Danio rerio: one gene and its partner. The protein of the gene in region 1 purifies or fractionates together with the protein of each later gene. This does not show direct contact. Links are inferred from orthologs where the notes say so. Each region holds a gene or a part of one and is shown in the gene's direction. Other genes may lie near its edges.

Evidence for each region.
Region 2: the proteins of ift22 (region 1) and ift57 purify together in Homo sapiens (affinity purification with mass spectrometry; 3 studies listed by BioGRID and IntAct, counting the BioPlex papers as one, with this or other methods). This does not show direct contact. The link is inferred for Danio rerio from reciprocal best matches to the Homo sapiens genes IFT22 and IFT57.

What each region holds. Positions count from the first base shown.
Region 1 is NC_133180.1:31,318,775-31,323,251, reverse strand, and holds ift22 (intraflagellar transport protein 22 homolog), read left to right. Parts: upstream 1-1,420; 5' UTR 1,421-1,646; coding exon 1,647-1,685; intron 1,686-1,764; coding exon 1,765-1,847; intron 1,848-2,650; coding exon 2,651-2,740; intron 2,741-2,829; coding exon 2,830-3,032; intron 3,033-3,424; coding exon 3,425-3,573; 3' UTR 3,574-3,718; downstream 3,719-4,477. Other genes in the region: atp5l (ATP synthase subunit g, mitochondrial), read right to left, coding at 4,024-4,122. UniProt on the Homo sapiens protein: Small GTPase-like component of the intraflagellar transport (IFT) complex B.
Region 2 is NC_133177.1:45,219,947-45,223,772, forward strand, and holds the end of ift57 (intraflagellar transport protein 57 homolog), read left to right. Parts: intron 1-80; coding exon 81-200; intron 201-275; coding exon 276-347; intron 348-1,384; coding exon 1,385-1,516; intron 1,517-1,608; coding exon 1,609-1,671; intron 1,672-3,075; coding exon 3,076-3,142; intron 3,143-3,239; coding exon 3,240-3,418; 3' UTR 3,419-3,505; downstream 3,506-3,826. UniProt on the Homo sapiens protein: Required for the formation of cilia. Plays an indirect role in sonic hedgehog signaling, cilia being required for all activity of the hedgehog pathway.

The sequences.
Region 1 (4,477 bases):
TATTTGTGCACATGTGATTTTTTAGCTTTTTTATTTTTATTAATTTTGCAACAATTTCAAAAAACCTTTCTTTACATTGTCATTATGGGGTGTTGTGTGTAGAGTTTTTAGAAAATTTAATCTATTTTGGAATAAGGTTGTAACTTAAAAAATGTGGAAAAGGGGAAGCGCTATGAATACTTTCCAGATGCACTATAAATGAGCAAAATTATCCCACATAGAAAAACTTCTCTTGGCCAGTAATTAAGCTATTCAAGGTCTTAATTACTAAGGTGGGTGTACTCAAAACTTCCAGACAAACTGTCATTCCTCCAGAACCAATTTTAGTGACCCCTGGTATAGTGTTGGACATTAACTGTATGTTATGCAGACATTCAGGTTTTTAGCCTTTAATATTAATTAAGATGGACATAAATTCTCTCGTCCAAAACCTTCCTAAAATATTCAGAAAAATACAACAAACCAAAAGACCAAAATTCCAACACAACTAAAAACTCAACGATTTACTAGCATTCATTTTGAATGTTCATTTCACCCAATAAAAAAAAAAAAATCACACACTGATAAGACGTTTGGAGGTCAGTGGTCACTGTCTTGTTGACCAGTGTGCGTGTAAAACAGGTTTTTTCAGTAAAAAAAAAAAAGATGTTTATTTTGAGAATTAGTTGTAAGCTGCTAAACAATTCTGTGGGTGAGCGTGTTTATACTGCAGCAGTGAGCAATGAATCATACAGCTGATATGAACGAGTTTTCTCAACATTTTTTCAAAGAACTTCACACTTTTATAGTTTTTCTAGGGTAAAGTTTTTTTCCTTGAAACTAGCTACGTGTGGTTTAGGTAGGCCTACTATGAACGAGGTCTTTGGATAATTTCACATTGTCATAGTTTATGCTAGCAGCTCTGTGTTAACTTACCTATTTAGTTGTTAAACCTGCTTTCCTTGGCCGTACAGGTGTTGTGTTTGCAGATGACTTTACTGAAGACAAAAATGTGCGGAATTCGCTCAATTCACAGGCATGTCGGATTTGAAACAGATGTGTGCTGTCCTCATGTGGCTGTTAGAGGAAACACAACTCCCACACTTCAGACATAAAGCAACCTTTTATGATTAAGTTTCAAAAACTAAAACTGGTTTAGAAAAACCTGAAAAAATATACTTGTAAAAAGTCTGCCAATACTTAAAAGGTCAAACATACATGTCCCTTGTTAAACAAGTTGTAATATTATGCCTTTGTTTTTTTTCTAACTTTTATACCCTGATCTTATGTTTGTTAAGTTAGAAAAACGAACTCATATTTTGCTAGCTACTTCATATTTCCAACTATGTCGTTTTTAAGCGAATTTAGCGAGTTTTTAGCGAGTTTAGCTTTTTGGCGAATCTGCAGGTTTAAACTCTAGCATCATTGCCTTGGAAACGAGATGTTTATGTCAGCCATAAGTTAGCTTTAGCTCATTGTACGCTTTATGTAACGTTAGCTGCTTGTCGATGTCTGTTAAAATGTCGCTTTGATTTGACGCTTTATTTATTTGTCTTTTTTAACGTATACGCAGTAGAAATGTTAATTTAATAACAGAAGATAGCGTTATCTCGTTTGCTAAGCAGAATAGTATTTTTGCCTTGCTTCTATCGTTAACGTACTTCACCATGTTTAAGGTGAAAATATTATTAATTGGACCAAGCGAGGTAAGCAGTTTGATTGTCAGTAAAATGCGGTGTATGATTAATTCACTGTTCATCACTGATTGATATATTTTACTGTCAGTGTGGGAAAACAGCATTGGCCAATTTTCTCTCCGATACAACGGAATCAATCGGAGCTGATTACAGCCCAACACAAGGCGTTAGGTGGGTTGATTTAAAGAACTTATATATATATAGAAATAATATATTTATAAGTACACTATACATTTACTATAACGTTAGTTATCTGTGGTGTATTGTAGTATAATATACTCTATAGTTAAAGAAATCTGAAAATCTGAAATCTTCTATCTATCTATCTATCTATCTATCTATATATATATATATATATATATATATACATAGTTGAAGTCAGAATTATTCTCCCCCCTTTGAATTTTCTTTCTTTTTCAAATATTTCCCAAATGACGTTTAATAGAGCAAGGAAATTATCACAGTGTGTCTGATGAAATTTTCTTCTAGAGAAAGTCTAATTTGTTTTATTTTGACTAGAATGAAAGCAGTTAATAATAATAATAATAATAATAAAAACATTTTAAGGTTAAAATGATTAGCCCCTTTATTCTGTATTTTTTTCCAAGTCTACAGAACAAACCATCGTTATACAATAACTTGCCTAATTACCCTAACCTGCCTAGTTAACCTAATTAATTAACCTAGTTAAGCCTCAAAATGTCACTTTAAGCTGTATAGAAGTGTTTTGAACAATATCTAGTAAAATATTATATACTGTCATCATGGCAAAGATAAATAAAATCAGTTATTAGAAATTAGTTATTAAAACTATTGTTTAGAAATTTGTTGAAAAAATCTTCTCTCCATTAAACATAAATTGGGGGAAAATAAACTGTGGGGGGCTATTAATTCAGGAGGGCTAATAATTCTTACTTCAACTGTACACAGTTTTGTTGTTACTAGACACTCAAATATTAATTCTCCATCTTCAGGATTCTTGAGTTTGAATCACACAATTTACATAATGGCAACAAAAGTTCATCATGTGATGTGGAACTGTGGGATTGTGCGGGAGATTTTAAGTAAGTGGACTAAATATTAACCACTTTGCTCAATCAAAGTTGTTCATTTTTTTCCTTTGGTGAATTCATTCAGTATTGTATGTGCACAGGTTTGAATCATGCTGGCCAGCTTTGATGAAAGACTCCAATGGGGTAGCTGTTGTATTTAACCCAGATGTGCCCAGTCATCTAAAGGAAATTGAGACCTGGTACTCTGCATTCATCTCATCACAAGGGCTGCTGGAGGGCCAGTGTTTACTCATAGCACATCATAAACCAGGGAGTGGGGCTGACACGAACCGTCCATCATTAGGTAACTTCCACTATAGTAGATAACATTTAAAGTGGATCAAAAAAAGTTTTTCAAAATCATCCCAAAACAAGAATAGTTGTTGTTCAATAGCTTTAGGACAACTTTGATAAAAGGTTTTGATCCACTTTAGATGTTGACTATTGTATCTTTATAGCATCAGTTCTTTTAACGTGTCTAGGAAAAAAGATTGATTAAATAAACTATAATTAAATACATTAATGAATGATTGACTTAAGAAATTATCATTACATTAAATAAATTAATGATTGATTGAATAAAGAAAGATACTTTTGTAAACCTCTGGGCACCTCATCATATACATTATTTGTTGGACGCATGACATTATGTATCCATTATGAATATGACATTATTATAATGTATTTTCTTTGCAGCTCCACAGTTAAACAAACTGCCTCTCATTCACTCAAACCTTGAGGAAGAGCCTGAAGAGGTCCGACAGGAGTTCAACAAATACTTGGGAAAAGTTATGCGGATGCTATCAGAAAGCCAAGAACGTGAAGAGATGTCAATTATAACATAATACACATTTTGTACTTTATGTATATTAGATAAGTCTATACATGAAAAAAAATTATGTTAGTCCTCTGTTCGCCAATTATATTGTCAAAATGTGATCACGATTCAATTTATTATACAATCGCATTAAAATCACCTTGATTTAAGAGTAAAGGAAAGATTCTGTATCCTTCAATAAGGGCTCTCTTTGAAATCGCTAAACTAGTGTAAAAATTGGAAAATGCATGGATTCTACTTTAAATAGATCTACGATTGACAACCACAAAGCTTAAACGTTATTGTTAATTCACTGTACCGTTATACAGTGGCAAATATGTCCACTGGAAGTAAAGAACCTCAAAAGGGTGATATTTCGTTAATAATATTCATTTATTTCGTTCCTGGATTCCAAGAATCTGATAAAGAAAACAGACAAAGCTCAGCCAAGAGAACAAGCAAGCAGGACAGTCCACATTTATACATCATAGCCAATGAGGCCTCTCTTCCCAATGATCTCCCCGATGTAGAACCACATCAGAACTTCTGTGGCCACAAGACCATTCCTCACAGCATCCTGTGGCAAATAAAGGAAACATTACATGAATATTCTTGGAACTCTCATTGATACAATTTACAAAAAAGAGAATTAAAAAGAAAAGAACAGCTTAAATAATACCCTGTGAAAAACTGAATGTTCAGTTTGATAAGTGAAAAGAGCACAGAATAGTACAGTGCATTAATATTAAACTGAACTGAATTAAGCTTAACTTTAGCAGTGACATTTATACTAAACTGCACTGTATCAGTTTTAATTTAACTCTAACTACACAACCAGTATTCTGCCACTACTTCTGCCTGGCTGATATGCTGGAATGCTTATACAATCTGATATACGGTTATGGCTTTTTATCCTTTCTTCATCCATGTAA
Region 2 (3,826 bases), on another chromosome or scaffold:
TCATGGAATTTTAGTAGTAAAAATGTGTATGAACCCTGTATGTAAAGTGCTCTATAACTAGTAGAAGTGTGTGTCTTTAGGAGCTCAGTGGTTCGAGGCCTGCAGTGGTTTTGGAGTCAGATGTTGATGCTGCCGAATGGAATCTGGAGGTGGAGCGAGTTCTTCCACAGCTTAAAGTCACCATCCGCACTGACAATAAGGTTGATGCTTGATGCATGAAAGGTGAATTAGAGACTCATTGGTTGAAGATTGAGTAACGGGTTACTGTGTTTCAGGATTGGAGGATTCACCTCGATCAAATGCATCAGCATCAAGATGGCATCAACACATCCCTGCAAGATGCCAAGGTCATCCATCAGTCAAAGATGTGTTTAAACAGTTAGCAAATTAGATAATAATAAGAAATGTTAAATTTATGTGTAGCATATGATTTTAAAAATATGATTTGTAAAAATGTTTAGAAAGGGTTCTTACTAAGGCAGCATTTACCTGATTACAAATACATTCAAGTAATTAAAAATGTATAAATTATTTCTGCAATGACATGCTAAGTATTTAGAAAACTTTACTATTATTTGCAGTGTGAAATTCAGTTTTGCTTTTGGGAAGTACAACTACAAAATAATTATATTTTTTACAATAATTGTAAATTAAATAATATTTAATATTTTTAAACAACAATGTATTAAATTGATTTGAGTGAGAGGAAAGAAAATGCTAATGTTGCAAATTTTGTGTTTAAAGTAAATAATTTTCTTTTGAAAATTCTGTTTATCTAAAAATTTAGTAACATTGATCAATTGAGGTTTAAAAAAGTAGCTAAAACTGTTTTCAAAGATTATTATATTAATAATAACTCTTAATAATAATTGGTCATTAATGATAGTAATTCAAATATACAAATGAGCATTAATGGTTTACAATCACACGAATAAACAACACTTTTAAATAGAAAACAGTTCTTTTAAATTGTAATAAATTCACTAAACTATAGGAGTTTGCATGTTCCCCCTGCCTTCGCGTGGGTTTCCTCCGGGTGCTCCGGTTTCCCCCACAGTCCAAAGACATGTGGTACAGGTGAATTGGGTTGGCTAAATTGTCCGTAGTGTGTGAATGTGTGTGTGGATGTTTCCCAGACTCAGAGATGGGTTGCGGCTGGAAGGGCATCCGCTGCGTAAAAACTTGCTGGATAAATTGGCGGTTCATTCCGCTGTGGCGACCCCGGATTAATAAAGGGACTAAGCCAACAAGAAAATGAATGAATGAATGAATGAATCACCAAACTATTACTGTTGTTTTTCAATCAAATAAATTCAGGCTTTATGTGCAAAAAAAAACACTGGAATATTGACTAATTCTGAAATGTATATGTGTATATTTTTAGGGTTGTCTGTTTAAGCTGAGGGAGGACATCAGCAAAACTCTGGAGAAAGTGAGCAGTCGTGAGAAATATCTCAACACTCAGCTCGAGCATCTTATTTCAGAATACCGGCAAGCACAATCACAGCTCAACAAGGTGAACAGCTCAACCAATCAAAACCCAAACGGTTATTACTCATAGAGTGGTCAAACATAGAGTTGTCAATTGCAAACACTTTTGTCTCCCAGGTGAAGGAGCTTTATCAGCAGGCCAGTGGAGGTGTCACAGAGAGAACCAGGATTTTGGCTGAGGTGAGTCTAAGCTAGCATGTTTTAAAAAAAAATTGCAGTAGTTCCTTCTTCCTTAATTTCAAATTGACAAATATTCTGAAACATATAAATTAAAGTAGGATGTGATTCGCCAATCGGGGAATTGATTGGTTTGTTGGATCTTTGTGGCGTGCAAATGCTCAATTTCTCATTTGTGACAGGTTGTTTGGTCAGGTTTGGGGAGTTTTTTTTTTCTCAGATGTTTTAAGCAGGTTTAGATCAGGACACTACAATGAAATGGATAGGCCATTTTATCATGTCAGTTTTTTCAGCTTTAAATAACTGCTATGCCCATTTTGCTGTTTGACTCTGCAAAAACTGCTTTTCTAAAAATTTTCTTTTTTTTGTCTTGTTTTTAGTCTAAATATCTATGGATTCTTAAATCACAAAGCATTTTCTAGACAAGCAAAAATTATTATCTTTTTAAAAGAAATAATATGCCAAATTAAGTGAGTTTTCCTTAAAAAAAAAGCTAAAATTAGCAAATGGGGTAAGCAAAATAATCTTTTTTTTTCCTTTTGACATAAGATTATTTTGCTTTCATCTTTGGCAGATTATTTAGCTTGCTTCAAGGAAAAAGAAGAAAAAAGACTAAACAAATTGCTGGCTGATTGATTGAGGGGTCATTAACACAACAAAATTGTCAGCCAAAACCAGGATTTTTAAGTGTTTTGTTTGTGTTTTTACATGGCAGCGTCCTTTTGGGCACTCAAAATGCATTGATTTGAAAACAAAGTGGAGGTTTTGAAAATTTTTCTGTAACCTTCCTTAGCCTTGTTCCTCCAGACAATCCTGTCTCGGAGGTCTACAGACAACTCCTTTGTCTTCATGCTTGGTTTGTGCTTTGGCACTGTCAACCCTGGACCTTATATAGACAGGTGTATGCCTTTTCAAATCATGTCCAATCATCTGAATTTACCACAGGTGAACTCCAATTAACCTGCAGAAACATCTCAAGAATGATCAGTGGAAACAGAATGTAGCTGAGCTCAATTTAGAGCTTCACGGCAAAGGCTGTGAATACAGATGTACATCTGATTTTTCAGGTTTTTTATTTTTAATAAATTTGCAACAGTTTCAAAAACTCTTTTTTCACATTGTCATTATGGGGTATTGTGTATAGAATGTTGGGTAAATAGATAAAGTTCAATAAATCAATTTTGGAATAAGGCTGTAATGTTAAAATGTGGAAACAGTGAAGTGCTATGAATATTTTCAGGATGCACTCTATTTCTGGTAATGAGAGGTTTTCTCACTGCAGGTTGTGTTGTCAGAACAGTTATGCTGTTAGAATAACTTCAAATAGCATAAGCAGTGACCTTGAATTGTGAAAAAACACTTTTAATTAATTCTCTAATTGTAATATTCATTATATTTGTGCTTCAGATTAGCGAGGAGTTAGACAAAGTCAAGCAGGAAATGGAAGAGAAAGGCAGCAGCATGTCAGATGGAGGTACAGTAAAACCACATTCTCACACACAACAACATTGACAGTGCGGTTTGTTTATGTCAGCGCTACTTCACACGTGTCAATGTGTTTTGTGCTGCAGCGCCAGTAGTGAAAATCCGTCAGAGTTTGACCAAGCTGAAGCAGGAGATTGAGCAGATGGATGTTCGGATGGGGGTGGTGGAGCACACGCTACTTCAAGCTAAACTCCGAGAGAAAAACAACATGACCCGAGACATGCACGCTACACATCTCTTAGAGCCCAATGCGCAGGCTTATTGAAACACACACTCACCGCCGATGATGTGTGAGTGTGCTAGATTTTCTATAAAGGTTTTTAATGTGTGTTTTTAAGTGTAAATAACAAAATATGTAGCATTGAATAATAAATTGAACACTTTCATTAGAAACTTCTAACTTGTAAAACTTGTACCTTACATAACTGTCCCCAGAGAAAGAGAGTGGGGTGTTGGTGGAATGATTTCAGCATTACACACACACACACACACACACACACACACACACACACACACACGCACACATGTTGTAACTCTTCCATGATGTCATCCTCGCGCATGACACAAGAGAAACATGAGAGATTGTTAAGGACTGCATTAGTTCATTTGCACAACTTATCAGTCCACATCCTGAGGAAACATTTGTTGAGTCTGTGTTCAGTCGGAGAACAAT